Saccharomyces cerevisiae S288C: one gene and its partners. Changing the gene in region 2 together with the main gene of any one other region gives a genetic interaction. Each region holds a gene or a part of one and is shown on either strand. Other genes may lie near its edges. The genes, in order: ENO2, TYE7, TDH3 and SOK2.

Region 1 (8,003 bases), on a different chromosome or scaffold from region 2:
CGATATTTTGGTATGGTATTGGGCTCAATGTATTGGAGGAGTATATCACTGAAGGCGACACGCCACGCCGTTCATAAGGTGCTGCAGTAGGTTGTTGCGGGAGAGTATTGTATGTATTGCAGAAAATCATAGGTTGTGAGACCGTACGTCTCAATCCAGGCTGATAGTTAGGATTGTAAACACCAATTGGTTGTGGCTGGTGCTGCATATACGGGAGAGGTAATTTATTCTGTTCATCTATGGGTAAGAGATATTGTTGCTGTTGTCGGTGCTGCTGTTGGTGCATTTCTCGAGGAGCGTTATTGAAGGTGGTTAAAGGTAACTGAACTGCGGTCCTAACTGGAATATTTCCAGGATGGTTGTTATAATTGCTCAAGAGATCACAATAGCTCGGAGAAGATGATAAAGACCTGCGCGTTTTATAATTATGAGCTTTGGTTCTGCCTCTCTCATTATTTTTAGACGGGTTAGATCTGCCATTTCCTACAGCAACTTTTTGTAAAGCATCTAATAGTTTCTGTGAAGGTCGAAATTTATGGAAGAAAGGATTTTCTGAAGGTCTCCTCAAACTTCCTTGATGAATATCCTTTTCCGTATAGTACGCAATAAGATGAAATGTTTCCAGCTTAGTGCTGTCGGTGGGATCCATATTGAATTTTAGAGAAAATGTTTTTTTCAGTAGTCCAGTATAAAAATACTTCCTATGAGCCCTCTCGAAGATATTATACTCAGGTACATTATGCAGCGGTAGATCGTGCGTGGAACCCAGCCTATTATACTCTCTATATACGAGAAATTTGCCTGAAATTCTTGAAGGAGACCAAGAAAAACCATCTGTCCATCTTTTGATGCCGGATTTCTCTTCGTTGAAAACAAAAATGTTTCCGGGGTTGACTAATTCAACCTTTTCTGCATCATATGGCCTCCGTTCGATGCATCTCAAATTTCCATTGAATACGCCCTGGAAAACAAGGGCTAGATCTTGCTCGTCGTCGATGTACCCATAACAGGTAGGGCTGATATCCATCATTCTTACGCTTACTCGTCGATCTCCTTTTCCTATCTATTGTTTGATTAATTATCTTAATTCGTGGTTCCCTTTTTTCTCGCTTTATTTGTTTGTTTTGTTGAAGAAGGGCTTACAAGAATGTACGTATTAAATAATAATTCATACAAATAAACAGGGAATGATACATAGTAGTTCTCCCGCAGCAGCTACGTATGAATTACCCGCCTACCCGGTACTATAAAGAAAGAATAAGTGGGCGTCGATTATGAAGATTTACTAACTGCAATTATCATTTTTTTGATTTTCCTCAGTCCCTTAGGTGCGTTTTTGTGTTAATGCCTATTTTTTTTTTCTAGGCTTTCTTCTTCACTTCCTCTTTCCTCTTGAATTTTGAGGAATATACGACCGAGAAAAAGACAGACTACTTAAAAAGTTGCCAGAGTGATTAAAGTTCCGGGAACAAGGCTAAAATACGTTTACAACATATTCTTCCTTTTTTTTCCACATAAAAAGGTTAATAGTCATAGTCATATGTTAGCGTGATTTCAACTTAAAATTAGAGATTATTAGATAATTTTTTTTTAAATGACGGCCAAGAAAGTGAAAGTCTAAAAGGAACGTTTATCGCTTAATTTCTCTCTGCCTCAGATTCATACGTTGTTAAGATCTTTAAAAGGATGGCCTTTGCAGGATACTGAGGTTTATGCTGGCGCGCCTGTGCGGATTTTCCAGATTCAAAAAGAAAGTTTTCTTTTTTTTTTACATGGGAACTGCGTAGCCGCGAAGCACTGCAGGCCTTTCAGAGCAATTTTTGGCGCTGCCTTTTAAAAACTTACATTAAGGTTCGCTATTGCCGAAACGGAAGAGGCGGAAATTTAAGTATTCGTTAATTTTACGGTGGCGGTACGGTATATTCTGCGTAAGCAATCTGCGGACGGCCGGATTATTAATCAATGTTTGAAAAAAAAAGATAGCAGAAGTGAAGATTTCTTATTTTAACAGCGATAAGGTATATACATGAGGGAAACGAAATATTAAGCGGCACAATATGTGTTTTTTCTATACAAGTACATTCCTTTTTACGTTAAGTATGTGGCGCCGGAAGGAAGTATGGTGCTTTTTTTTTCTTTAGGGCTTGTGCGTGTTCCGCTAGAAGCACATTTCTTTCTTCTTTGTCTGTATAACTACTGTTTCTTAGATCGATCAGTCTATCATCCCATACAACTGGTTCGAAATGACCGACCCTACGTGGAATGCTATTCAGTAGTTCCTGTAGTTCTGCATAGTATTCCAGGTCCTTTCCCTTTGGGAAGTTGTGCGTTCCGCAGGCATTAGAGTCGAAAGTTGTAGTTATCGGTAAGCTTTTACAGAATACTTCGACCATAATAGCCGCCTGTAGTTCCGACAACGGGAACGGGATGACCAACTGCGGGGTCAAGATAAAGGACAGCGTAGGATCTTTTACATAGATCATGTGCTCCCACAAATTGTGCAGATTGACAGACGAGTGCTTGTCGCCAGTAACACCCTCACCTAGCACTTCCAGTCTAACGGAGGGCTCTATAAATGGAAAGCTGTAATAATAGCCTGTGGCGAAAATAATGTAGTCTATATTCTGAAGTACTCTTCCATCAGATAAAGTAACTGAACGATTTTTCCAATCGGCACTGTCTATTGTTTGGACAGTCTCGATTAACTTGGCCTTCAGTTGATTGCTCGCAGGCTCTTTTATACTATTATATACTTTCTTTGCAACGGTAGTTAGTTGGTTGGCAATATCTTGGCCGGAACTGCCGTTTCCCACCACAATAACGACTTTTTCACGGGCAAACTCGCAGTTTTTGAAATCCTTAGAATGAAAGGCGCCCTTATTGTCGAACCATAGATCGAGACCTGCGATATTAGTTGGTAGTTTAGGGACACTGTAGTGACCAGACGCAACAATAACGAAGTCAAAATCCGATTTAGTAGTCCTTAGTTCGTCTTTAGATGTTATCTCCCATTGAGAGTTCTTCTTCTTTAAGTAGGTAACTTCGGTGCTGAAATGGATGCTGATAGCATCTTTGTTGGCAATGAACGTTTTGTAATAGGCTTTCAAGTATTCCCAAATGTTTCTTCGAGACGGATATAAAGGGACGTTTTCCTCGAAGGGAAAGCCGCTAAACTGCATTAACTTCTTTGATATATTGGTTTCCAAATGGTCATACATGACCCTCCCATCACTTTTTTGTTCTGGATAATGCCAGACACCGCCAATATCGTAATCCTTTACAAATATTTCTATTTCAAAATTTGGAAGACTTTGCGAGAAAACTCTTGCAGCTGCCAACCCTCCTGGCCCCCCACCTATGATTGCCAATCTTTTTTTGTCATTCACTGTCATGCCTAGTTACTTCTTGTTATTTCTCGCTTCCTGCTTGAATTTTCTGTATTATTGTATTTTCGACTTGTATAAAAACAGTGGCCCATTTAAATACAGTCCCAAATAACGACTGCGTTTTTGCAGTGGCATTTATCCTTGATATGAGGCTACAGGATTATCTTGCATAATGGCTTTTCTCGGCAAAAAGATGTCTGGCGCTTCCTATGTAAAGGTAATATCATGTGATTAAGAGTGAAAAGAGGAATTTAAAAGGTAGAAAAGGGTTCATGGAATCTTTCATAAAGCAGAACATTAATACTTGCCGCGTTGAAATGAGGTGCGATTTCGTGTTGTGGACGGGACATTAAATTCATCACTTATATAATTAAATATAACGTTATAGTAGATCGTCTCAAAACGGTATAACAACCCGCGCCCACCCTTAAATAGTATTACTTTTGTTCAAGATTAGCTCGAATGGTCGCTGGCAAACTGTTGAAGAACTAGATCGTTTCATGATTAACATCTTGGCGACGCAGAAGTTAATGATATAGAAATAGTGGACTATTTTGATTACTGAGGCTGTAGCCAATAAACGATAACATAAAGGGGGGGATATATAAACTTGTGTCAAAGACTAGTAACGTACGAGTGCTAAATATTATACATGTAATGTTAACGTAGTTTATCATTATACTCAGTGGGAACAAATAAAGGGAAGGGTATGAATGAGGAAGAAATACGAAAAATCCCGGATAAAAACAAAATAGATACAAATAGTATCAAATTTGTAATATTTGTCACCATCTTAATGGCAGGCGAGGGAGCTGTCATCTATCTCAGGACTATACGAAGTACACCAGCTGTAATTACCCCATATTGCCCCACACACGACAGCTAACATTAACCAACCATTATAAGTCATGAATACAAGCATGAGCATGAATGAGAATCCCACTTGCAAACCATATAGAATACTATTGGACACTTTGTCGGCTTGGTTGATCTTGGTCAGAGATCTATTTGGTAACAATACTCTCTGGGATAATTGTCTCTTATGGACACAGTACTTTAAGTACTCATAGAGGTAGGCTAGACCAAAAATTGCTAAACAACTTAAAATCAGTCCAGGCAGGGTCTTGATATGCCACCATTCAAAGACGACACACGTATTCTTGTATGACCACGAAAATAGCATATTCATCGAACAGGTATCATCTCCATCTCCCATATGCATATCACTGTGGTCGTGGCCCGCATTTCCTTCCATCTTGTGATTCATGCTATCCATCTTTTTTGAGTATCCAATTAACGAAGACGTTACCAGCTGATTGAAGGTTCTCAAAGTGACTGTACTCCATGTTTTCTTATCATCCATGTAGTTATTTTTCAAACTGCAAATTCAAGAAAAAGCCACGCGTGTGCACCTTTTTTTTCCCCTTCCAGTGCATTATGCAATAGACAGCACGAGTCTTTGAAAAAGTAACTTATAAAACTGTATCAATTTTTAAACCTAAATAGATTCATAAACTATTCGTTAATATAAAGTGTTCTAAACTATGATGAAAAAATAAGCAGAAAAGACTAATAATTCTTAGTTAAAAGCACTTTACAACTTGTCACCGTGGTGGAAGTTTTCACCGGCGTAGACAGCCTTGTCACCCAATTCTTCTTCGATTCTCAACAATTGGTTCAACTTAGCCAATCTTTCGGATCTAGCTGGAGCACCAGTCTTGATTTGACCAGTTCTCAAACCGACAACCAAGTCAGCAATGAAAGTGTCTTCAGTTTCACCAGATCTGTGGGAAACCATAACACCCCAGTTGGCAGCGAAAGAGTCTTGAGCAGCCTTGATGGATTCAGACAAGGTACCGATTTGGTTAACCTTCAACAACAAAGCGTCAGCAGCCTTCTTTTCGATGGCGGTAGCAATTCTAGCTGGGTTGGTGACAGTCAAGTCATCAGCAACAATTTGGATACCAGCGGTCTTGAAGAAGTGAGACCAAGCTTCCCAGTCATCTTCAGCAAATGGATCTTCGATGGAGACAATTGGGTATCTCTTCATCAAGGAGTGGTACATGTCAGCTAATTCGACACCAGTCAACCACTTGGATTTGTCAGATTCTGGGTTCTTGAAGTCCAAGTCGTACTTACCGTCCTTGAAGAATTCAGAGGAAGCACAGTCCAAACCGATCTTGACCTTACCGTCGTGACCAGCAGCCTTGATAGCGTCAACAATCAAGTCCAAAGCTTCTTCAGCGGTTTGAATGTTTGGAGCAACACCACCTTCGTCACCGACGTTACCGGCAGAAGCACCGTATCTCTTCTTGGTCAAAGACTTCAAGTTGTGGTAAACTTCGGAACCAATTCTCATGGCTTCAGCGAAGGTCTTAGCACCAGTTGGAGCAATCATGAATTCTTGCAAAGCCAAAGCACCACCAGCGTGGGAACCACCGTTCAAAACGTTCAAGAATGGAACTGGCAAAACGTATGGAGAGGTCTTGGACTTAGACAAGTCAGCCAAATGTTGGTACAATGGGACGTTCTTTTCAGCAGCAGCGGCTCTAGCAGCGGCCATGGAGACACCCAAGATAGCGTTAGCACCCAACTTGGACTTGTTGGCGGTACCATCCAAAGACAACAAGAAGTCATCGACGGCCTTTTGGTCCTTAACATCTAGGTTGGCCTTGACGAAAGCAGCAGCAATGACGTTGTTGACGTTGTTGACAGCGTTCATAACACCCTTACCCATCCACTTGGATTTGTCTTCATCTCTCATTTCCAAAGCTTCGTGGACACCGGTGGAGGCACCAGATGGAACAATGGATCTGAAAACACCCTTTTCGGTGGTTAATTCGACTTCGACGGTTGGGTTACCACGGGAGTCGTAGACGGATCTAGCGTAAACTTTAGAGACAGCCATTATTATTGTATGTTATAGTATTAGTTGCTTGGTGTTATGAAAGAAACTAAGAAAAGAAAAATAAAATAAAAATAAAAGATTGAGACAAGGGAAGAAAAGATACAAAATAAGAATTAATTACAATTGCGTTTGCTATAAATACGTTTTTAACAATCAACTCTGGTAGGAAGATAATGCTTTTTTTTTTTATATATGCTTGGTGCCACTTGTCACATACAATTCTACAACCTTCGACAAAAATCCAAATGATAGTAAGATCAAAGCCAGAAAGCAATGGAGAAAAAAAATTAATGAACCACGATGAACCAAATGATCAATACAACCAAAGAAACTACCCTAGTGAGGTGTATGCTGACTTGGTATCACACTTCATGAATTTTGCATATGGCAAAGTCCACGAAAGTGGGCTTCAGAAAAAAGGCGTGCGGTGTGTAGATGTATCAATTAGTGGATGCCAGTTTTGGAACGGGATTCCACTTTCCGCAAGTTGGTGCACGTCGTTAGTGACATAACGCCGCGTTCATCTTTGGGAAGAAGCAGATGCTGAGCGAGGAGGTACTATAGAGTAAAGAACCCTTTCTATACCCGCAGCGTCGACACTTGAACTATCATAAAAGTCGAATTTTTCAGTACTTAACTCTTGAGTAAAGTTTATGAGACACTTCCGAAAAATGCTGGACGCGTTGCTAATGTATTCAATCAGCTTCTGAATTAATTCCAGGGCGGCATCTTCTTGGTAACCAACATCTTCCTGACCGCCATTGTTTGTACGATAGCCTTCGTTTAGTGTTTTCATCATCCCGCTTTTGTGTTTCTCATATAGTACGGGGTCCAGTTGACATAATTTTGCTCTCATAGATTTGATGAACTTGCAAAACTTATATACAATGTCAAATATTTGTAACTGTAGTGGAATCAAGTCAGACAAGCAACGATTTGTCATTATATTTGTTAATCCACCTTCTAGCTCATTTTGGATGGCAACGGCAAGAGTAGGATTTCTGTAGCACTTTTCTAATGAGTATACCTCTTTATCAATTACGTTTTGGTTGAAATATTCCATGATGGTTTTAATGAAGTGGTTCATCTTAGCATGCAGCACTCTCGTTGCCCTTACTATCCTCCTCTTCACAGTGTGCGAATAGCCTCTGTATTTCCAGCTGGGTGTTTTGTTTAAGTCCATCCAAGTCTCATCCAAAAGCCTTGAGTGGTATTGTAAAACTAGTTGGTAGCGCAGGATTATTTGGTATTTTATCATGCATGTCCTACTAATAATAATATTCAATGGATAAGGTATGTTGATGTCAAATTTTAAATGATAAATTGCGCTTTTTGGAGTATATAGTTCTAGATTGGATCCATGGTAGGCTCCCGTTCGTTCTTTGCTTAATTCATCAAAAAGAATGGCATTCATATTCTTGAAATTATTCGCGTGCATCAATGGGTCGCTGTCGTCATTTGCTGAGTTATTCTCAGGTACTTCTGGATAAATTTGGAGGTAGTGCGATAAGACTTGTGGAAGTGTTTCTGTATCGAACTGTATCATCAGGAGTTGCCTCATCAGGTTGTTTGGATTTTCGGATTGTCTCTCTAACTCAAAATTTTGTAGCAGCTTGTCATAGTTTGCATTATTATCATTCCTGTAGTGTTTGGTCAACTCACCCATATTTTTTGTTAGAAACTTTAAAACATTATGACCAGATTGATAC
Region 2 (7,376 bases):
GCTTTTTTTGATTGTATTAACCTGAAGCTATCACGGTTTAGACTCATTAAAAGAAAAATATCCGGTTGTATCGGATAACAACACCGCTGTAGTAGCACAGTTTTTTGATCATAGTTTCATTATTTTTTTAAATATGCTTGTATACAGTAATCTAGTTTTGGACGGATTATTCATGTCAGTAAGATTTTACTATCTACTTTAAAATTATCGAAACAGATATCAACTATACATCCACTCATTATTGGCATAGCGAAATAAAATTTATGAATAGGAAGGATATAAAACGAAAATTGAAATCGTTTAGTATTATATGAAACTATTAGTCTTTTCGTTTTCGTCGTCATACTTACATTCTTCTTTTATAAATATTGTTGTGCCTAAGAAACAAAATTAAGTAACTGTCTAAAACGAAGTTGCAAAAAAAGGGGCGAGCTGGGAATTGAACCCAGGGCCTCTCGCATGCTTTGTTCCTCCTGTTTGATCAGGGGGATCGCCCAAAGCGAGAATCATTCCACTAGACCACACGCCCATACAATTTGTGATTTCTCAAAGTTCAAGATGAAGTATTATAATTTTATATTCATTTTCCTCAGTCCCAAAAACGAATGGTTGAAGAGAACTGTTGGAATAAAAATCCACTATCGTCTATCAACTAATAGTTATACTATCAATATATTATCATATACGGTGTTAAGATGATGACACAAGTTATGAGAAGCTGTCATCGAAGTTAGAGGAAGCTGAAGTGCAAGGATTGATAATGTAATAGGATAATGAAACATATAAAACGGAATGAGGAATAATCGTAATATTGGTATATAGAAATATAGATTCCATTATGGGGATTCCTAGACCCTCGAGGAGAACTTCTAGTATATTCTGTATACCTAATATTATAGCCTTTATCAACAATGGAATCCCAACAATTATCTCAACATTCACCCATTTCTCAAGAACATTGTTGAAATGTAGCGCAATAAGTGGTGATTGATACCAACGTTTGCTGCTACGTTAGCAACCTAAACGCTTACACCAAATGTTTAAATTAGTATACTTTTCGAAAATTCGGTGGATATTAGAATAATTTTTAAGATCCTATTGATGATTAAAGCTATAATTGGGTAAAATAAGCATATTCTTGAAGTTCATTACTAAGATATAGAAATCAAGGAAAGGAAACCGATATTTCTACGTAACATTTATTATTTTTCCTTGCATTTTGTGTCGCGTTCTCTTTTATTTCTTTACATTATCAGTCCTTGTATTGCGGCATCCACTAAATCTGATGATTGTTTCTTAATTCCCATGTCATCTTTTTACACAGTATATAATAATATGCTGAATTATACGATATCAAATTTCTTTGGGTGCGATGTAGATGATTCAAATACTCAATAATTATGCATGAAAGAAATCCATTATTCTTGGCAGGAATGCCTCAGGGAATATGGGACCATGACAAGAGGCAACTTAATAGGCATTTACAACCTTTTGATTGAATAATCTAACTATGGGATATAAAGAAGCCTCTAAAAAATTAAATGCCGATAACCTTGATGATTTTCGTATGCTTATTTAATGCGGCTCCCGTCAGCGCCCTGCCGGGTAATATGATTCCCTTTCCAAGTAAGAAGAGCGACAGATAAGCGCGCTTGTATTCATCATACTGCCGCTATGCTGCTTTTCAGTCTGAAAATCGGATGTAATCTGAAAAGCGGATCTGTATTACGATATGATATGGGCAGCCTTTGTGGGTACGATGTCTAGAATTGAAACATTTTTTAATTATATTAATCTTATCGTTTACTTTTTCACATTCTTATCAGTAGGGCGAAACACTAAGAAAAGAGGAACCTCTTTGCGGCTTACGTAAAAAATGCACTAGCCATGTTTGGCACGTTCCCTGCTTGAACTGACATTAGGGGTCGAGCACGAGAGAAAGCCTATTGCCATCACGTGGCAAGCCAGCAATGATCAATTAACAACGCTAAAATCGGCGTATATGCAATGCCAATCCTACGATACTGTTGAAGTAAGGGGGAGGGCGCTAATACGACTCAGACTGACATGCCCTAGTTGTGCTACAAAATTGTCGTTTATGTTACAAACACGTGTAAGATAGTAAAATACCCTTCTTGGACATTCTATTATGCCAAAGCAAAAAAAAATCGGTGAAATAAACCTGTCTCAGTCTGGTTTAGGAAAAGAGACATCACCACACCATGCCAAATGCGGCAACTTCCTTAAACCGCGGTGTCGTAGAACCCATTCATCCTTGTGTATACGCTATGCTGGGCGGTACTTACCGGATCTGGCAGGCACCACATGGGTAGAGAATAAATGACGCACGCATCTGAATGTTACACCCAGAGGTATCCCGGAAAATCTTCCTTTTGAAACCGGAACAAGCTGACCTTGACTTTCACCCGCGGATACTGCTTAGCCCAGTTCCGGCCGTACACAAGCCCTTCTGGAGTGGGATTGAGCTCACTTCATTGCGCTGTTACTCCCCTAACAACGTGGCCTCTCTCCATTCGGTAAGGAATCAAATTTTGTTCTAGAATGTTCATGCTGCTGCGGTCATTTCTTACCCTAGTAGTAATTCATTGTGCCCACGTACGAACCGTACAATGGGATTCTGCCCTGCGCACGTTCACAGTTCGCCAAATAACAATTCTCATTTTCATTTCTTTTTCACAGTGTAGATGATACCGTGTCTGCGACATTTCCATTCTTAGTAGAAATGCAAAACGCAACGTTTGCTATTAATTTTTTTCACCTCTGTTTCCTTTTTTTTTCTCACCTCAACAATCAAATGTACTTATATAAACTTCTTTTGTTATCTCCAAAATTTAAACTTATTTACATCCTTTTTCACTTCATATATCAATTCATGGGAAAGTAAAGCTATCTTAATTACATCCTTATTTTATATTTCCCAACCATCAACCTTTATTCTTTACATATTTCTCTCTTTTCTCATTTTCTTTCTTATTAAGCGTAAAGCACCACAAGCAGTACCGATCTAAAGTCTCTCTACTTTACTATTATTTTTTTTTTTTGTTCACTTCATAAACTTTTAGTGCAAAAATAAAAATAAAGACAAATAACACACTATCAAATCTCTTCAAGTTTAACAATTATGAACTCTATTTTAGACAGAAATGTTAGATCTAGCGAAACTACTTTAATTAAACCTGAATCTGAATTTGATAATTGGTTGTCGGATGAAAATGACGGAGCTAGTCATATCAACGTCAACAAGGACTCCTCGTCAGTTCTTTCTGCATCTTCTTCCACATGGTTCGAACCATTGGAAAACATTATCTCCTCTGCATCCAGCTCCTCGATAGGCTCTCCAATCGAAGACCAGTTTATATCTTCCAACAACGAGGAATCTGCTCTTTTTCCAACAGATCAGTTTTTCAGTAATCCTTCCTCATACTCGCATTCTCCCGAGGTTAGCAGCTCGATAAAAAGAGAAGAGGATGACAATGCCCTTTCGTTGGCAGATTTTGAACCGGCTTCTTTGCAATTAATGCCTAACATGATAAATACTGATAATAATGACGATAGTACCCCACTTAAGAATGAAATCGAGCTAAACGACTCGTTTATAAAAACAAATCTAGATGCTAAGGAAACGAAAAAGAGGGCTCCAAGAAAAAGACTGACCCCCTTCCAAAAGCAAGCTCACAACAAGATTGAAAAACGCTACAGAATAAACATCAACACAAAGATTGCAAGACTGCAGCAGATTATCCCATGGGTAGCAAGTGAACAAACAGCTTTCGAAGTAGGTGATTCTGTAAAAAAACAGGACGAAGACGGCGCAGAAACTGCCGCTACTACTCCTCTTCCATCTGCCGCTGCTACAAGCACGAAGCTAAATAAAAGCATGATCCTAGAAAAAGCTGTTGACTATATTCTATATCTACAAAATAACGAACGACTATACGAAATGGAAGTTCAAAGGTTGAAAAGTGAAATCGACACTTTGAAACAAGACCAAAAATAAAAGCACGCTTGCTTAAACACCAATATTATAAAATTACGATAGAAATTCCTTTCTCCTCTTTTGTTTATGCGACATTTTTTTCTTTCTTAGCGAAGTACTTTAAAAAACAAGCCCAAAAAATAACAAGGCCATAACATAGCAGACAAGAATACAAAAAAAAAAAAGAAGTTGGAAAAAACATACAAAAAGATAAAAAAAAAAAATCCCCACTAAAGAAGGATGATAAATCGTGATGCGCACTTTTCATACCTTTTTCTTTTCTATTTCGTATTATTCAAAAAAAATTCTAATTTTATTCCTCCTTTATACACATTAATGACGCGTGGTTCATAGCCAAGAAAGCACAAGACATGACGAAATTCCGTTTCAGCTACGGACGGATATGTATGCCAAAACCGAAAAAATAAAAAAAAATCAATTTTTTTTATTTCAACAAACACATACACCTTAATGATTTATACGAACGAACTCTTCTCAAACTTTTCTCATTTATTTTATTTTATTATCTTATTACGGCCTTTTCTATTCATTACATTCACAACCCGTTATTATGTCACGCCATAACTAAACTAAGTACGAAACATATATTTACAGCATTATATTCTTAAAGAAGTTTTTTGGGCTTTTTGTATTCCCCCCTCTGATTGACGACAATTTGTTCGAAGCGAGATATTGGGCTGTCATATTAGCAAAAAAATATTGCTCCAGGGGAGGTTCGAACTCTCGACCTTCAGATTATGAGACTGACGCTCTTCCTACTGAGCTACTGAAGCGCACAAAATATCAAACGTGTTGTATTACGGGCTCGAGTAATACCAGATTCCTTGAAGTCTTGATATAAGCAGTTTTCGGAATTTCTAGTATATTCCTTATACATAATATTAAAGCTATCAGCAATGGAATCCCAACAATTATCTCAAATTCAACCAATTCTTACGAGTATGACTGTGTGGAGAATGTGGATTTTGATGTAATTGTTGGGATTCCATTGTGATTAAGGCTATAATATTAGGTATGTAGATATACTAGAAGTTCTCCTCGAGGATTTAGGAATCCATAAAAGGGAATCTGCAATTCTACACAATTCTATAAATATTATTATCATCGTTTTATATGTTAATATTCATTGATCCTATTACATTATCAATCCTTGCGTTTCAGCTTCCACTAATTTAGATGACTATTTCTCATCATTTGCGTCATCTTCTAACACCGTATATGATAATATACTAGTAACGTAAATACTAGTTAGTAGATGATAGTTGATTTTTATTCCAACATACCACCCATAATGTAATAGATCTAATGAATCCATTTGTTTGTTAATAGTTTAAATGTTTTTATCGGAAGAGGTTTTGTCATCACATCAGCAATGTTCTTCTTGGTCTCGATGTAGTATACGTATAAATTATTACCTGATACTTCATCTCTAAGTCTCATTGCCTTTGTGCCAAAAAATCTGTTTCTAAATTTCTCTTCATTTGTAGACTTAATTATACTGATCGTTGATCTACTATCAGTAAGTAAGCCTTTAATAATTGGTTTCTTGTTAAGTTCTTGCACAAGGTGACTGAGGTTATTCAATAGCGGTATAGCTTCACTGACTGCGTGTATTTCTGCTTCTGTAGTTGAAGTGCATGTTAACGAAGCCTTTGTCGACTTTCCTCCAATCACTTTTCCGTTGAGTAGGAAAATGTTACCAATTTGTGACTTGTAATATGGTTGGTTACCATATGAAGCATCGCTTATTGCGACTAGTTTATTATCTGGCTTGGTAGGTTTGTTTTTGTGCCATATTAATTGTTTATCTCTAGTGTCCCACATGAATTGTATTAACTCATATGTCATGTCTAAAACTTGCCTAGAGGGGAATAGTATATGTTGAGCAAGTGTGTTGATGTAGTATAGTAAGTCAAATCTAAATTTATATCCAACATATGAAGCTAGACCAATCAACTTTTGCATTTCATGCACTTTCTCTTTGTATTCATCTTCATCTATTTCTAGTTCATCCTGGTCTATATAATGACCTGGTTGACCTGGAGCTCTAAGTTTCTTTCCTTTTGGGTTCAAAGGTACGTTTAGTTTGGGTAATTTTTCTGTCAAGGATTTTTCCATACCTAATTTCATGTACTTGCTTCTTTGATATTTGATCTCTAATCCAAGTATGTCGTACTGAATTTCGTTATCACCTTCACCCAGATTTATTATCTTTGTATCGTATTGTTTCTTGAGTGTTGTTATGATTTTCTTATTTGCATTTAAGTCTTTGCTGAATAATATCATATCATCAACGAATAAGCAAATTGTTACTTGACTATTCTTAAATACGCATGACCATCCGCGAACTTCTTGCATGTCGCAACAATTTATTAAATATGATTTAATGGTTTCATACCAGTTTGCACCACTTTGTTTCAAACCATAGAGTGATTTTCTCAAACGTAGTAACTTATCATTCAAACCTAAATGTGGTGGAGGTCTTATGTATAATTCTTCTTTGATATCAGCATATAAGTAAGCAGAGGATATGTCCAGCTGTGTGATATAATAGTCATTGTCTAATGCGATTGACAATGACGTCATCAGTGCATAGTGATGTACGGTATTGGATTGCATATCAGAATCATATGTATCGGGGTGTTGAATGTCGCCTCTTGCAACAAATCTAGCTTTGTGTGTACCATCACGTTTCTTGTTAAATATAAACATTGAGTTTATTACTTTTTTAGGATCTATGTCATTTCTATCATAATATTTGTTTGTATCCCAAGTGTTCATTTTCAATAGTTGGCTAATTTCTTTATGATAAGCTTCAACATATCTGTCTTTTTCTTTGTTGTCTTTATTATATGTAATTGCTTCATCATATCTTAAGGTCGTTCGAACTGGTTTGATCGATTTCACTCCTTTTATTGCTGCAATTAAATTTATGCGTTTCTTCGATCTTGGTGGTTCCAGACTTCTCATATTCTTATTATTCCATGTGTCTCGGGATACCTCAATTTCAGTTTCATTATCTTCTAATGATCTTTTCTTACTTTTGGTAGTAGTCAGAACATTAGAATCATCCATACCACCCAAACTGGAATTAGTCTGACGAGAGTGTATGTGTGGGATATCTTTTGAAACATCAGAAGTGTCCGTAGGAGATTTATGGGTTAAGTCAGGAAGTGGGAGGTCGTCAAGAATAGAATCAGCCGTAACATTTTTTGAGGATTTGTCAGGCATTATATTAGGAGTCGCATGGTCAGAAGAGCGATATTCTGGCGGATCCGTATCAATGGAGGGTGTATTATCACATGCAGCCTTTGTTTCTATGGAGATGATGGGAGTAGTGGAGTCACTGTTGGACGAA
Region 3 (7,978 bases), on a different chromosome or scaffold from region 2:
ACGATAATAGTACAACAGATAATGATAATAGTAACAATACTGCCAATGATTTGGCAGCGCGCAGTGCATCTTTCAAAAGTGAAAACAGAACAGTATCTCAAGGCGAAATGACAAGCGTCCATGAACCCAGTACTGAAGAAATGGCGAAATTGGGGCAGCAGAATAACTTACCGAAATTAGATATGAATAAACTACTGAACAGTAAGACTTCGCACGCCGGTAAGATAGAACAGTTGAGAAATTATAAGCGTGAGCTAGATGAATATGATACGGGGATACAAACATGGATAAATTATACGCTAAAATCATCCTCTAATAAGGATAAGGATTTCATAGCTGAGGAGTATAAGCAGCATAGTCACGTTAGGGAAGCATATGCGAACGCGGACGATTTGAGTAAGAAGCATACTGTCATTAACACGGTTGCTAGTGTCAACCAAAATGTAACGCACTTAAGGAGAAAAGTTTTCCAGCATTCTATGAAACCAAAGGATTTATTCGCATCAATAGGTAAGAAAAAACTGTAAGCGTTTTGCTTTACGGTAGAAACACGAAAATGTAAATGCGTTCAATTTTCAATTTTACTGTTTTTTATGTACTTTTATATAAACAGTGGCAATTAATGGCGTTTTTTATTCTACCTAGCAGAGGCGTTACTGACTCTTTTCTGAGCATGTTTCCTCAGTTCTTCATCCATCAAATCTCTTACCCTATGAGCACCTGCGATGCCGATGGCAAGAACGTTCTCTAACCTATCTAACGGAATTTTGTCTTCCACCAATAAAAGAGAAAGTTTTTCTGACTTCCCTACCACACCTAGTGTCACTGTACTCATAGCATTTTCTTCTAATGAATTGGTATCTAATAATGGGGTAGTATCGTACAGCCCGACGGATATACCACTTATGTAATCGAACATTGATATACCGGCATCTATTAAAGCGAGGGTAATACCGTTGATTAAAGATCCCATAATACCGCCATCTTGCTCAAGGACATGGATCTCGATATCGATAACTGTTCTGGGGTAGATATTCAGCATGACATTCTTCTCAAACATCCTCACCAGGGAGGTTTGTATCTCAAGAACACGCCTTTCATTCTTGTGGCTTGATTTACTTCTTTCGAATTTGGAGAATTTTGTAATGTTTACCGATACGTTCAATAAAGCCTTTGAGGTATCCATTTGAGATTTCAATCTTGGCTCTTTTGGACCTTTAACAAGAGTGATAATTTTGTTGTTACCTTGTTCCATGTAGGATGAACCGTCTGCAGCGTGCGGATGTGTGTTGATGGAACTTTCAAAACGGCGGAGTTCATTCCATCGACGTCCATCGAGACGTAGCCCTTCTGGCGAGTATATTTCTAGTCTTGACATATGATGATCCTGCTGTAGTTATGGCACTAAAGTTTTTTTGTAAATCTTTTTATATGTTAATAGATTTTACCAGTGGGACCCTGGAAAGAAAATATGTGTAAATGATGTTTTCTTTTGGATGATGTTCATTGCACAATGGTTCGCAATGTCATTCATTCATCCATTTCTTCTAGCTTTTCAATTATTAATGCCTTAAAATTTTTCAATTTCACCGCGTTACCCGAAGATGTAAATGTACCTACTCAAATAAAAGGTTCCTTGCTGGTTGGCTTTCGTAGCTAAATTGAGTGCACGTTACAAGATTATAAATGCGTTTATATATATATATTCCAGTGAATGATCTACTTTTGCTTAAGCGGCAGAATTGCAAATCTTAATTTTTCTTTTTTGTTTATGTTTTATTTCCTTGTGACAAATAAAATTTTTTTCTCTTCTGAATTTTTAAAACTAAAGAACAAAATATTAAAATAAACAAACAATTCTCCACTTTTTCTTCTTTTGGTATAGAAACTGATAGAAATGTCCTAGACCCTTAATAAGCAAAACACTCATCATTATAACGGGAAAAAATTTGAAGCAAGCTCAAAAGAGATATATATATCATCCAGCATAGACTACTATTAATTTCTATCATAATTGCAATAAAAAAGGAAATATTTAGGGGATCAAGACCATTATTCCATCAGAATGGAAAAAAGTTTAAAAGATCACGGAGATTTTGTTCTTCTGAGCTTCTGCTGTCCTTGAAAACAAATTATTCCGCTGGCCGCCCCAAACAAAAACAACCCCGATTTAATAACATTGTCACAGTATTAGAAATTTTCTTTTTACAAATTACCATTTCCAGCTTACTACTTCCTATAATCCTCAATCTTCAGCAAGCGACGCAGGGAATAGCCGCTGAGGTGCATAACTGTCACTTTTCAATTCGGCCAATGCAATCTCAGGCGGACGAATAAGGGGGCCCTCTCGAGAAAAACAAAAGGAGGATGAGATTAGTACTTTAATGTTGTGTTCAGTAATTCAGAGACAGACAAGAGAGGTTTCCAACACAATGTCTTTAGACTCATACTATCTTGGGTTTGATCTTTCGACCCAACAACTGAAATGTCTCGCCATTAACCAGGACCTAAAAATTGTCCATTCAGAAACAGTGGAATTTGAAAAGGATCTTCCGCATTATCACACAAAGAAGGGTGTCTATATACACGGCGACACTATCGAATGTCCCGTAGCCATGTGGTTAGAGGCTCTAGATCTGGTTCTCTCGAAATATCGCGAGGCTAAATTTCCATTGAACAAAGTTATGGCCGTCTCAGGGTCCTGCCAGCAGCACGGGTCTGTCTACTGGTCCTCCCAAGCCGAATCTCTGTTAGAGCAATTGAATAAGAAACCGGAAAAAGATTTATTGCACTACGTGAGCTCTGTAGCATTTGCAAGGCAAACCGCCCCCAATTGGCAAGACCACAGTACTGCAAAGCAATGTCAAGAGTTTGAAGAGTGCATAGGTGGGCCTGAAAAAATGGCTCAATTAACAGGGTCCAGAGCCCATTTTAGATTTACTGGTCCTCAAATTCTGAAAATTGCACAATTAGAACCAGAAGCTTACGAAAAAACAAAGACCATTTCTTTAGTGTCTAATTTTTTGACTTCTATCTTAGTGGGCCATCTTGTTGAATTAGAGGAGGCAGATGCCTGTGGTATGAACCTTTATGATATACGTGAAAGAAAATTCAGTGATGAGCTACTACATCTAATTGATAGTTCTTCTAAGGATAAAACTATCAGACAAAAATTAATGAGAGCACCCATGAAAAATTTGATAGCGGGTACCATCTGTAAATATTTTATTGAGAAGTACGGTTTCAATACAAACTGCAAGGTCTCTCCCATGACTGGGGATAATTTAGCCACTATATGTTCTTTACCCCTGCGGAAGAATGACGTTCTCGTTTCCCTAGGAACAAGTACTACAGTTCTTCTGGTCACCGATAAGTATCACCCCTCTCCGAACTATCATCTTTTCATTCATCCAACTCTGCCAAACCATTATATGGGTATGATTTGTTATTGTAATGGTTCTTTGGCAAGGGAGAGGATAAGAGACGAGTTAAACAAAGAACGGGAAAATAATTATGAGAAGACTAACGATTGGACTCTTTTTAATCAAGCTGTGCTAGATGACTCAGAAAGTAGTGAAAATGAATTAGGTGTATATTTTCCTCTGGGGGAGATCGTTCCTAGCGTAAAAGCCATAAACAAAAGGGTTATCTTCAATCCAAAAACGGGTATGATTGAAAGAGAGGTGGCCAAGTTCAAAGACAAGAGGCACGATGCCAAAAATATTGTAGAATCACAGGCTTTAAGTTGCAGGGTAAGAATATCTCCCCTGCTTTCGGATTCAAACGCAAGCTCACAACAGAGACTGAACGAAGATACAATCGTGAAGTTTGATTACGATGAATCTCCGCTGCGGGACTACCTAAATAAAAGGCCAGAAAGGACTTTTTTTGTAGGTGGGGCTTCTAAAAACGATGCTATTGTGAAGAAGTTTGCTCAAGTCATTGGTGCTACAAAGGGTAATTTTAGGCTAGAAACACCAAACTCATGTGCCCTTGGTGGTTGTTATAAGGCCATGTGGTCATTGTTATATGACTCTAATAAAATTGCAGTTCCTTTTGATAAATTTCTGAATGACAATTTTCCATGGCATGTAATGGAAAGCATATCCGATGTGGATAATGAAAATTGGGATCGCTATAATTCCAAGATTGTCCCCTTAAGCGAACTGGAAAAGACTCTCATCTAAAATATGTTTGAATAATTTATCATGCCCTGACAAGTACACACAAACACAGACACATAATATACATACATATATATATATCACCGTTATTATGCGTGCACATGACAATGCCCTTGTATGTTTCGTATACTGTAGCAAGTAGTCATCATTTTGTTCCCCGTTCGGAAAATGACAAAAAGTAAAATCAATAAATGAAGAGTAAAAAACAATTTATGAAAGGGTGAGCGACCAGCAACGAGAGAGACAAATCAAATTAGCGCTTTCCAGTGAGAATATAAGAGAGCATTGAAAGAGCTAGGTTATTGTTAAATCATCTCGAGGGAAAAATTCAAAAATGCTAAGTGCAATTTCCAAAGTCTCCACTTTAAAATCATGTACAAGATATTTAACCAAATGCAACTATCATGCATCAGCTAAATTACTTGCTGTAAAGACATTTTCAATGCCTGCAATGTCTCCTACTATGGAGAAAGGGGGGATTGTGTCTTGGAAATATAAAGTTGGCGAACCATTCAGCGCGGGCGATGTGATATTAGAAGTGGAAACAGATAAATCTCAAATTGATGTGGAAGCACTGGACGATGGTAAACTAGCTAAGATCCTGAAAGATGAAGGCTCTAAAGATGTTGATGTTGGTGAACCTATTGCTTATATTGCTGATGTTGATGATGATTTAGCTACTATAAAGTTACCCCAAGAGGCCAACACCGCAAATGCGAAATCTATTGAAATTAAGAAGCCATCCGCAGATAGTACTGAAGCAACACAACAACATTTAAAAAAAGCCACAGTTACACCAATAAAAACCGTTGACGGCAGCCAAGCCAATCTTGAACAGACGCTATTACCATCCGTGTCATTACTACTGGCTGAGAACAATATATCCAAACAAAAGGCTTTGAAGGAAATTGCGCCATCTGGTTCCAACGGTAGACTATTAAAGGGTGATGTGCTAGCATACCTAGGGAAAATACCACAAGATTCGGTTAACAAGGTAACAGAATTTATCAAGAAGAACGAACGTCTCGATTTATCGAACATTAAACCTATACAGCTCAAACCAAAAATAGCCGAGCAAGCTCAAACAAAAGCTGCCGACAAGCCAAAGATTACTCCTGTAGAATTTGAAGAGCAATTAGTGTTCCATGCTCCCGCCTCTATTCCGTTTGACAAACTGAGTGAATCATTGAACTCTTTCATGAAAGAAGCTTACCAGTTCTCACACGGAACACCACTAATGGACACAAATTCGAAATACTTTGACCCTATTTTCGAGGACCTTGTCACCTTGAGCCCAAGAGAGCCAAGATTTAAATTTTCCTATGACTTGATGCAAATTCCCAAAGCTAATAACATGCAAGACACGTACGGTCAAGAAGACATATTTGACCTCTTAACAGGTTCAGACGCGACTGCCTCATCAGTAAGACCCGTTGAAAAGAACTTACCTGAAAAAAACGAATATATACTAGCGTTGAATGTTAGCGTCAACAACAAGAAGTTTAATGACGCGGAGGCCAAGGCAAAAAGATTCCTTGATTACGTAAGGGAGTTAGAATCATTTTGAATAAAAAACACGCTTTTTCAGTTCGAGTTTATCATTATCAATACTGCCATTTCAAAGAATACGTAAATAATTAATAGTAGTGATTTTCCTAACTTTATTTAGTCAAAAAATTAGCCTTTTAATTCTGCTGTAACCCGTACATGCCCAAAATAGGGGGCGGGTTACACAGAATATATAACATCGTAGGTGTCTGGGTGAACAGTTTATTCCTGGCATCCACTAAATATAATGGAGCCCGCTTTTTAAGCTGGCATCCAGAAAAAAAAAGAATCCCAGCACCAAAATATTGTTTTCTTCACCAACCATCAGTTCATAGGTCCATTCTCTTAGCGCAACTACAGAGAACAGGGGCACAAACAGGCAAAAAACGGGCACAACCTCAATGGAGTGATGCAACCTGCCTGGAGTAAATGATGACACAAGGCAATTGACCCACGCATGTATCTATCTCATTTTCTTACACCTTCTATTACCTTCTGCTCTCTCTGATTTGGAAAAAGCTGAAAAAAAAGGTTGAAACCAGTTCCCTGAAATTATTCCCCTACTTGACTAATAAGTATATAAAGACGGTAGGTATTGATTGTAATTCTGTAAATCTATTTCTTAAACTTCTTAAATTCTACTTTTATAGTTAGTCTTTTTTTTAGTTTTAAAACACCAAGAACTTAGTTTCGAATAAACACACATAAACAAACAAAATGGTTAGAGTTGCTATTAACGGTTTCGGTAGAATCGGTAGATTGGTCATGAGAATTGCTTTGTCTAGACCAAACGTCGAAGTTGTTGCTTTGAACGACCCATTCATCACCAACGACTACGCTGCTTACATGTTCAAGTACGACTCCACTCACGGTAGATACGCTGGTGAAGTTTCCCACGATGACAAGCACATCATTGTCGATGGTAAGAAGATTGCTACTTACCAAGAAAGAGACCCAGCTAACTTGCCATGGGGTTCTTCCAACGTTGACATCGCCATTGACTCCACTGGTGTTTTCAAGGAATTAGACACTGCTCAAAAGCACATTGACGCTGGTGCCAAGAAGGTTGTTATCACTGCTCCATCTTCCACCGCCCCAATGTTCGTCATGGGTGTTAACGAAGAAAAATACACTTCTGACTTGAAGATTGTTTCCAACGCTTCTTGTACCACCAACTGTTTGGCTCCATTGGCCAAGGTTATCAACGATGCTTTCGGTATTGAAGAAGGTTTGATGACCACTGTCCACTCTTTGACTGCTACTCAAAAGACTGTTGACGGTCCATCCCACAAGGACTGGAGAGGTGGTAGAACCGCTTCCGGTAACATCATCCCATCCTCCACCGGTGCTGCTAAGGCTGTCGGTAAGGTCTTGCCAGAATTGCAAGGTAAGTTGACCGGTATGGCTTTCAGAGTCCCAACCGTCGATGTCTCCGTTGTTGACTTGACTGTCAAGTTGAACAAGGAAACCACCTACGATGAAATCAAGAAGGTTGTTAAGGCTGCCGCTGAAGGTAAGTTGAAGGGTGTTTTGGGTTACACCGAAGACGCTGTTGTCTCCTCTGACTTCTTGGGTGACTCTCACTCTTCCATCTTCGATGCTTCCGCTGGTATCCAATTGTCTCCAAAGTTCGTCAAGTTGGTCTCCTGGTACGACAACGAATACGGTTACTCTACCAGAGTTGTCGACTTGGTTGAACACGTTGCCAAGGCTTAAGTGAATTTACTTTAAATCTTGCATTTAAATAAATTTTCTTTTTATAGCTTTATGACTTAGTTTCAATTTATATACTATTTTAATGACATTTTCGATTCATTGATTGAAAGCTTTGTGTTTTTTCTTGATGCGCTATTGCATTGTTCTTGTCTTTTTCGCCACATGTAATATCTGTAGTAGATACCTGATACATTGTGGATGCTGAGTGAAATTTTAGTTAATAATGGAGGCGCTCTTAATAATTTTGGGGATATTGGCTTTTTTTTTTAAAGTTTACAAATGAATTTTTTCCGCCAGGATAACGATTCTGAAGTTACTCTTAGCGTTCCTATCGGTACAGCCATCAAATCATGCCTATAAATCATGCCTATATTTGCGTGCAGTCAGTATCATCTACATGAAAAAAACTCCCGCAATTTCTTATAGAATACGTTGAAAATTAAATGTACGCGCCAAGATAAGATAACATATATCTAGATGCAGTAATATACACAGATTCCCGCGGACGTGGGAAGGAAAAAATTAGATAA
Region 4 (9,105 bases), on a different chromosome or scaffold from region 2:
AAATGAGTAAGAATAAGATATTTGGAACAATAGACAATTAGCTTATATATAATTTTTTTCTTCCAACAAGATTCCCTGCTTGCGTATATAAACCAATCAGTCCCTTTGCCTGAAGACAATAAGGACGATCTTTTACAACCGATTCGATAAAAAATCTTTTCAAAACCGAAACATGAGCTCTCTTCAATAGCGATATAAACACCGGCAGCATATAGACGCAGGTTTGGGCTATGTTTTGTCAGCAGCGATAAAAGGTACGAGACTTCGCAGACTTAAACGAGGGAAACCTTCTCGAGAACTATGGTAACAAATATTACCCGCCCCGGAAATTGCGGAACAAATACACTGTCTCTTTACGAGTTTCTCGTTTAAAAAATCCAGGGGTGTGGGGTGTGGGCGCCCATATGCGCGAACGAGCAGCTGCTTGTGATGTTTTCCGGGGAACCTCCCACGTTCACAACCGCGCCGCGGAAATAACGAAGTTTTTACGTGTAAAGAGATTACGTCAAAGGAAAGAAGTGTTCAATGTGTCTATCTTATAGGCGTGATAGATGTCATTTATAACATGAGTCCACCTCATGCATAACGTATGTACATATATGTGGGCGGTAGGGTTTTGATTAAAGTAACATAATTATCCAAGGAATTCATAGTTGTTCTATTTTTCTTGTTTTTTTGTATCATCAGCAGCAATTTCTTCGTTGGAGACATCGCCAGCTCCATCAACTTGTGATTTGGATGACTCTGACTCCTTGACAGGTTCTGCTTCACTAGGTTCGTTCGGTTGTGTTGCTTCATCGCTTGTACTTGTTTTTATTTTGTCAGTATCCGTCGAAGTCAATGCGGAGATTGGTAATTGACTAGATCGTGGCTCCTTTAATGTTTGATTATCTGGTACAGTATTCCCACTGTCTGCTTCCTTAGACCATTTGGAATGTGATGCCGATTCAGATTCCACTCTTGGAAGGGTGATTCCTGTATGGATACTTCCCACATTTGATTCAGATGATTGATTTGTGTTTGTTGTAGTTGGAGAAGGTGTCAAAGGCTTTGAATCTGCAGGTGTAATGCCTAATGTACTTGCCGAATTCATTGTGGCGTTGCGTGGATACGATAAGGGTGAAGCTATGTTGCCCATCAGTTGTTGTTTCATCGGCATTGTTGCCGAAAGGGTCTGTAGGTTAGTTATAGTATGTCCTTCTAGTTGGTTAGAGTTAGGCATTGTGCATTTTTTCAAGGGCTTTTCACCCGCAGCGATTGTACTTACAGCTGGTATAGAATTATTGGGTATAATTTTGTTGTTCAAATTCATTGAGGAGTATGTCAGCTGAGCAGCAGATATATTTGAAGGACCATTAGGATTTTGATAGTTGTTAATAGGTTGATAATAGGTACGCGGACTGATGGATTTAATACCAGTGCTACTGCTACTACTACTGCTATCATTGCTTGGATTATTTTGTTTCAATACGCTCTGAATATCCCTGATGAACAAGGGATAAAGATAGTCAGCAATTTTTTCTCTTTGTGCTATTGCTAGGGCACGCTCAAACGGTATCCAGACACCCTTCAAATGCATGGAACCAATCTTCACCACATGCCTGATTTTTTCCGCTTTTAGAATACCATCTCTTCTACCTCTTGTCATCTTAGTTACATTCAGAAGTTTGGTACCATTAACCATATCATTATCTGCTCTTCTTACCACTGAAATACCGTTAGCTTCTACCTGATAACATAGCGTTTTTTCATCCTCCCACATTGTTGTTGTTACTCTTGGCCTTATTATACTTGCCGAAGTGCCGCTGGTGTTACTGCCTGTGGCATTGGTAGTGGCGATTAAGGGCATCGGGTGCCTTATGGTAGTTGTTTGGAAAGAATTCATGGTTTTAGCCATTGAGTCATACTGTTGATCTGACACTCCGTGCCTATTTGCAGTTAAATAAGTTTCTTGATCAGTAGAGGGTTTAACTGGTGGAGTTATAGAATTTCCATCATACAACGGGCTCACCTGTTGTTGTTGCTGAGGCGGTAGCAAACCCACTTGCGGAAGATTGTAGCTTAAAGGTCCATTTTGGCTGGTTGGACCTTGAGTTGGCGTTGTTAATGATCTTGGAGGAATTGGAGAATGCGAGTTTGGAATTGACGAAGTCTTGTGAAAACCGGGGTATTGGTAGGTGGAAGGTTGTGGATAGTTTGACATTGGAGGCTGCTGAGCTAAGGACGAGATACTATTACTATTGCGACTAGTGCGATTAGAATTGGGAGACATAGAGCCACTGGACGAATCAGAAGGTGGTCCAGATTTACTGAACTTTGAAAATGCATTACCTATCTTTGGTGGTTGGGCCGGATACGTTTGAGCTTGTAATTGTTGTTGCTGCTGGTGTTGTTGCTGTTGTTCAAAGGTTGAGTAGGTTTTTTCCAAATTGGGGTTTTGGACTTGATTACTGGTTACAGATGGTGTTGCACCGTTAGTGGTTCCATCGCCGTTTGCAGGATAATAATAATACGCTTGTGGATACGAATATGCCATTGATTGTTGGGCTTGCATTTGGGGAAAATAATAGTAGTATGGTACATTGTTACTGATATTAGTACTGTTATTGCTTTTTTTGGTGGTGATTGCAGAACCATTCGGTAACGCAGTTGCAGTAGCGTTGGAAGGAACACCTACAGACGTGGAAGGTGGATTGGAAGCATTTGAGTCAGAACCGCTACTCTGAAAGGATTCTTGAACTTGATACATCTGAGGCTGGGATTGCAGTTGCTGTTGAGACTGGGATTGCGGCTGCTGATAATATTGCGGGTACGGCCACTGTTCAGGAACTACGTATTGGTAGGATACGGGCATCAGAGGTTGAACGCTCTGGCCGAGATATTGTTGTTGTTGCTGCTGCTGTTGGGTGGACTGGCCAATAGTACTTTCGCTATTGCTCACGGCACTCATATTTGATTCCTGGCGCATGCGGTTGGACTTGATATCATTCGTATTGATTGGGTTACCGATGGGCATGACAAAAGGACCTTACCAGGGTTATATAAGGATGATTTTGTACTGTGCTTAACAAATCCACTTTCAATTTCTGAAAACAAAGATCAAAAAGGTTTTTTTTTTTTATACAATTGTGAAGTATGTTTAATGAAAACAGCACAAAATGATATCTCTCTGCTTGCAATATAAAAAGCTATGGAAAAGGATTATCAACTATACTAGAAGGCTTACACACGCACAGGCACACACAACTAATGCAAAAGATAGTGGGGAAAAACTTCAAAAACTAACAAAAAGAAGTGTTAAAGATGAACTTTTTTCTTTTGTATCGTCGGCTTGCCACATTCGATAAGTTAATAAAACACAAACGGGCAACACATCTACGTACTTTTTATGTGAAGACAAGAGAAAGAATACATCACTGATACGTGCGTCTATTGCGCAGCACTGTACTATTGCGAAGAACTGAGTGAAGGCAAAGAATGAGATGATCGATGCTTAGCCGACTGTTAAACTTACTGAGCGGTAGCCTCTACTAGTTCCTTAGTCAGATCGCACTCAACTTGGAATGTTCCGTCAGGCCCACGGAAGAAAAAGCAACAAAAGAAAGAAAAACCGGACAACATGCGGGAAAAATGCAAACTGTGTGAGGGAAAAATTAACTTTAAAGATTACATCAACGGCGGGAAAAGATCCTTCCGCAGTCCTTCTACTGCGGTTTCCCTGCAGGCACAGCTAACCGGAGGGAAGACAAGTCAAGCGGACATGCAGTTCCCGCTCAGGCTTCTTTGCAGAGAAATCGGAATATGAATTTTTTGTGTTTTTTGTTAACTTCTTTACCATTCGCATCACGGGAAGAGTGTGTTGGCATAAGAGGCGCAAGAAAAAGGTGACCCACGGTGGTGGGAAAGAGAAGAAAAAGCCGTTTGCGGAAAGCAATGTTTTGCCCATTCAGAAACAATATCTTTGCTGTATCCCTACATGTATTATGCCGCGTTGCTTGTGCAGGTACGGAGTCCCTGCACGATTTTTCAACAAGGTCTAGATTTGCTAAGACGATGAGGCGGAGCCCGAAACAAACAAGCCAAAAACCGGAATTTCGCGCTTGGTGTGCTTTCGCATCTTTTCGTGTGGTGAATGCACCTGGTGCACGCTGCGAAGGTGACGTAGCAATCCAAAAAAGGGAAGTCTAGGCGCTTTCAACCGCCCCCCACCGTGCATGCGGATTGGTTGTCACAATTCGCAGACATATTGGCAATGTTTCCTCCCCTCCTGTTGATGCGGGTAAGGGGTGTCTGTTATGCAGGAACAGGAAGGTAAAAATTAAATGGGCCTTAATTCTGTAGACACTCTCTTGGGGTAATAAGGTTAAAAGCCATTGTTGAAGTACGGAATCATCTCTTCATTTTTTCAGCGCTTGTAAGGAATTAATCCCCAGGAAGGTGCCGATGTAATGAGAGAAGTATTCTTGTTGTATCTCTTTGGTTCGGAGTATTTCCTTCTTTCTTTTCTTTGTAGTTTTTATGCAAATGCAGGGAACAGAGTACCCGGTTAAGGCTGTTAGTCAGCCGCACTCTACACAAAATTACTTGGCAAACACGTTGGTTGGGAAAAGCTTTATACTTGGCGGTGTAGTAATTGTAAAGGATCAAGATTGTGTCATGCTAATGTGCCGCTGTGTAACAACCTTTTTGAAGCGCGTATTTACCACCGGCAAAAGGCCATTGTGTCACATAAAAAAAAACTCCCGCCAAAGCCAGGTTCATTTTGCATAAGATTCACCACAGTACGGAAAATACGATAAGTTAACCAGTAATTTGCTCGCTTTAGCTACTGATAAACCTTCTCTGTTAACACTATTATTTTTTTATTACTTTAGATTTTTCCGTTTGTGAATAGCCATTTTTAGATATATAATGGGGTTCAGAAAAATACTTGCTAGCAAATCGCATCACAGTCGCCACCATAATCAGCACCATAAGAACCTGAAGTTGCAAAATCATCGCTATGTACTTATTTCCAATATTACAGGATCCCATGAAACAAAATATTTATCACCCTTCAGGATGGACAATTGTTCAGGAAGCAGAAGACGTGATAGGCTACATGTGAAGCTTAAATCCTTGAGGAATAAAATCCACAAACAACTTCACCCAAACTGTCGGTTCGATGACGCCACTAAGACTAGTGATGATAAATGCGTCTCTTATGAGGTGCCCGAAAGGGATGGCCTTGCTACTATTTCGTTAGAAGAGGTTTTTCCAAAGTCCAACAGGTGCCAAATACCTGAAGAAAACTTGGGAGAAACAGATAGCGTTATTCACAGAGATTTGGGAAATTTTGCAAATGAGAATGACTATCCACAGTGGAGAAAAGTTGAAAGTCAATATAACTTAGAGAATGTCCAGCCTGAGGAGGATGAAATAGTTGATAGACTCAGGTCCGAGATTAGAAGCACTAAATTAAAATCTGTAAAAACGACAAGCAGAACACTTGAAAAAGCTATAGAGGCTCGATGTACTGGAAAGAGAGTTCTTCAACAACTAAGTTGTCAGAGCAACCAACTCACCAAGATCGAGAGCAATTGTGACATGCTTAAAATTCAATCTAACGTAGCCGACCGAAAGATTGACGAACTTGCCCATGAAAATAGAAGCCTGCTTGCATTAAAATCACCCAACCCCTTCAGGAAGAAAAGGGAGAGAGAAAAGCGAGACCAGATCTACAATTTGAAGTTAAAGCATCGTCACTTACAGCAAGAAACTATGAAAAGAGCCCAAGATTCTGACAAAAATTTAGCCATAAATCTAAGTTCTGAATATGGACGGTATGGCCAAGGGGTGGAAAGACAGCGTATTCTTAGAGATGCCCAGAAGTATCAGTTTGAAGCCGATGAAGAAGATAACCAAATGGAAATCGACTTGTACGGAAACCTAGAACAAATAAAAGCGGTGAGTGGTGACTTGAAAATTATGGCTCACGCTTTTGGCAGAGAGTTTGAAGCACAAAACACTAGAATGTTTGACATCGAGAACAATGTACAGCAGGCAGATAATGCTTTACAGGCCAAGCGATATAGATTGGAGAAAGTGATCGGGAAAAGATGGTGATCTGTTATACACACAAAATATCGTGTATAAATATATTGAATAAATAGTTTCTAAAAAGGCATACGCAGATATTCTTGCGAAAGAGAAAAAAAAAAGAGCGAGGGGGACATTAGTACTGAAGGTCTCAATTCTTCTTTGTATTTTCTTTCGGAGTTGTCAGACAAAGCTTTCTCTTTCCCATAAATAAAGTGCATTCAAACATCGGCAGGTTTGTTTTTCCCAGTTGTTACGTATTTGTTTCCCGTTCCATTCATGATCTTAAACTGGGTTAACTGAAAAATCAACATGATTTTGTGAAAAGTAAAAGAGGGTAAGAAAGATAGATACCGCTGTCGTGGGACTATATTTTTTACAGTACCAAGTCTACTTGCTTCTCATAAAGTTGATAAGTTATAATTCATATAATTTCATTTGTCAAAAAAGATTTTAGTTACAAAACGATATCAAAGTTCAATCTTGTTGGGAAAAAGGAAAACATTATGAAGGGTTTCCGGTAATCACTGCGTATGCCACACTATTCCTATAGAATTGTCTTGATTGGGTGCTTATGCTGCGGAAAAATTATATTCTGCGCTTGCCTTTTATATTAAGCGTCACAACGCCCTTACCAAGATCGAGCGGATTAAGACAAGAGTGTATCTCAAGCGTCCGTATATGTTTAAGTTGAAAAGGATATTTAGTAAGAATAATTCTACCCTACAAACGATATTAGTAAAAAAAAAAATCAATAATAGAGTTATTGTACAAACATGTTCTGAAAATTGGAAGCATCACATCGTATGCTACTAGAGAAAATTTTTACTATCCTTTTTTCCACAAGCCCAGCCCTAGCCCGATCATCCTATTAATTGTCAGACCACCGAATGCTATCCCGCCACGGTTGATATAACGAAACTCTTTACTGCTTTGGGTCAAATATGCCTCTTTTCCGCATTTTTTCGGAGTAGTTCATTGCCGCATACATACCGCAACTTGGACGAGGATGTCCTCCTTCTCTTACTTTTTTATTCGTTTCCAATTTGTTTCTCGTACCGTTCAAGTTTCAAGCCTACAAGAAATGTACACGACATGGATGCGTCAGCCTGATTCAGATATGACAAGATTGTTCCTGCGCATATGTGAATATGAGCGCACGCAATACATTGAGATCTTATTTGGGTTTGTAAGTGCAAACTTAATTTACTTTGCTTCCTGCCGGTTTTGATGTGCACCTGGGAACTTAAATAGCCGCCAAAAGAAAAGCAATCAGAGCGGCGCGGCGCAGACAAAACCCGAAGAGTTTCCTGGGAACGGTAGAGGCCTTGGTAGTACCTTACTAACGCCGGAGAGGATGATTGATACGCATTGAAATCGTACAGAAAACTTGGGGCAAAGCGCTCTTACCCCAATATTCTCACCCAAACAGTGGCAATAAATAAAGAAAAGGTCATCACTTTTTTTCGTACTCTTATCCGTTTTATTTTATTTTATTCTTTTTTTTTGAGTGGAGAATCATTAAGAATAAAGGGTACCTTTTGTAAGCACGATGAACGAAGTTACTTGTTCCATAACTGGTGACAACCCAATTCATAAGATCAACAATGGATTAGGCTTGAAATGGAATAATCTGGGTAAATTCTCTGATTTTCAGACTAACGATAGCGCCGCGCGAGATGCTAGAACAATAGATTACATCTTTACCAATTGTCAAACCGGCAGCAGTATTGGTAAGATAGATTTTCGGGCCGCACTACCGGCAGATAAATCTCAACATAGTGGTGTCAGCGAAAAAGAATTTTCAAGACTTGAGAACCAGTGGTCAAAGGAATTCTCTTGTTTCCCCAAGAATAAAAATGCTGATGTGACCAAGCCCAGTAGAAACAAACATGAGAAACGCTCCGCTAATTTGCACAATAGGTACTTTGCACAATATTATAGTACGGCATATCAGCAAAATCGTATATATCCTTGTCGAATATCTTACAATGAACACTCATCTGTTTCTAATGGCTGGGAATTTCAGTTCAAATCAATCGAAAATCAGTTACTAAATGAGCTAAAGATAGAAAACAATGTAGAAGAAAAAACTGTTGGTTATGAATATGTGGCAGAATACGAAGAAACAATTGATTTCATGCATATGCTGTCATCCGTACCACAAACATATCAATTCCTAAAATCAAACATCTACATAACGGAACGGGACCCATATAAAATAGGATGTGTACTAATGGACAACGGTTCCAATTTGAACGAAGTAGTAATGGCCTTTGAAGCAGCCATTTCACAAGATCCAAGCCATATAAATGCATGGTTGAAGTTAGGTATAGTTAATTTTGAAAATGAAAGCGAAAGCAATGGAGAGCTTGCTTTGCGAAATTGCTTAAATTTGGATCCAAATAATACAATTGCATTGGAAAACTTAGCAATTCACCATATAAATCAACAAAATGAATCAGAGTCATTGAAACTTTTTCACAAATGGATTCTTTCAAAATTTTCGAAGGTTTTCCAACCTTCTGCGGGGGAAAACAAAGATAGCATTAATAAAATTCCGAAAAAGGCCCATTTGGCGCATATTCTAGAATCCCTGTTGAATATGGGTATAGAAAAAAAAGATCAGTATGATATATATTCAGTATTATCAATCTTATATTATTCGGATCAGAAAATAAAGCAATCTCAGAAATGCTTAGAGTTTTTACTACTGGAAAAGCCCAATAATGGAACAATATGGAATAGATATGGTGCTATTTTGGCCAATACTAAGTCGTATCACTCTGCGATAAATGCGTACAATAAATGCAAACAACTAAGACCGAATTTTACAAGGGTTCGTTATAATTTAGCGATCGCCTACATGAATAAGGGTGACTATGTAAAAGCAAGCAAAATGCTAATCGAAGTTATACTGTTACGAAGTAAAGGATATGAACACAACAAAGCAAAAATGCAAAACAAATTTATGCAAAATTTAAAAAATGCTCTCATCGCTTCAAAAAATTTTGATTCACTTGATCT

Evidence for each region.
Region 1: mutations in TYE7 (region 2) and ENO2 together harm fitness more than expected from each alone (negative genetic interaction), as found in Saccharomyces cerevisiae (2 studies listed by BioGRID).
Region 3: mutations in TYE7 (region 2) and TDH3 together harm fitness more than expected from each alone (negative genetic interaction), as found in Saccharomyces cerevisiae (2 studies listed by BioGRID).
Region 4: mutations in TYE7 (region 2) and SOK2 together harm fitness more than expected from each alone (negative genetic interaction), as found in Saccharomyces cerevisiae (2 studies listed by BioGRID).

What each region holds. Positions count from the first base shown.
Region 1 is NC_001140.6:449,618-457,620, reverse strand, and holds ENO2 (phosphopyruvate hydratase ENO2), read right to left. Parts: upstream 6,295-8,003; coding exon 4,981-6,294; downstream 1-4,980. Other genes in the region: ROF1 (Rof1p), read right to left, coding at 1-1,030; FMO1 (N,N-dimethylaniline monooxygenase), read right to left, coding at 2,094-3,392; YHR175W-A (uncharacterized protein), read right to left, coding at 3,914-4,063; CTR2 (low-affinity Cu transporter), read right to left, coding at 4,180-4,749; YHR173C (uncharacterized protein), read left to right, coding at 6,468-6,806; gamma-tubulin-complex subunit SPC97, read right to left, coding at 6,815-8,003.
Region 2 is NC_001147.6:973,836-981,211, reverse strand, and holds TYE7 (Tye7p), read left to right. Parts: upstream 1-3,142; coding exon 3,143-4,018; downstream 4,019-7,376. UniProt on the Saccharomyces cerevisiae protein: Transcriptional activator of glycolytic gene expression, such as enolase genes (ENO1 and ENO2), glyceraldehyde-3-phosphate dehydrogenase gene (TDH), phosphoglycerate kinase (PGK1), phosphoglycerate mutase (PGM1), pyruvate kinase (PYK1) and triosephosphate isomerase (TPI1) genes.
Region 3 is NC_001139.9:882,282-890,259, reverse strand, and holds TDH3 (glyceraldehyde-3-phosphate dehydrogenase (phosphorylating) TDH3), read left to right. Parts: upstream 1-6,449; coding exon 6,450-7,448; downstream 7,449-7,978. Other genes in the region: FYV8 (Fyv8p), read left to right, coding at 1-527; exosome non-catalytic core subunit SKI6, read right to left, coding at 638-1,378; XKS1 (xylulokinase), read left to right, coding at 2,385-4,187; PDX1 (Pdx1p), read left to right, coding at 4,519-5,751. UniProt on the Saccharomyces cerevisiae protein: Glyceraldehyde-3-phosphate dehydrogenase (GAPDH) involved in glycolysis and gluconeogenesis. Catalyzes the reaction of glyceraldehyde-3-phosphate to 1,3 bis-phosphoglycerate.
Region 4 is NC_001145.3:302,578-311,682, forward strand, and holds SOK2 (Sok2p), read right to left. Parts: upstream 3,017-9,105; coding exon 659-3,016; downstream 1-658. Other genes in the region: SPO20 (Spo20p), read left to right, coding at 4,912-6,105; PEX9 (Pex9p), read left to right, coding at 7,631-9,105. UniProt on the Saccharomyces cerevisiae protein: Plays a general regulatory role in the cyclic AMP-dependent protein kinase-stimulated (PKA) signal transduction pathway by regulating the expression of genes important in growth and development. May inhibit the switch from unicellular to filamentous growth.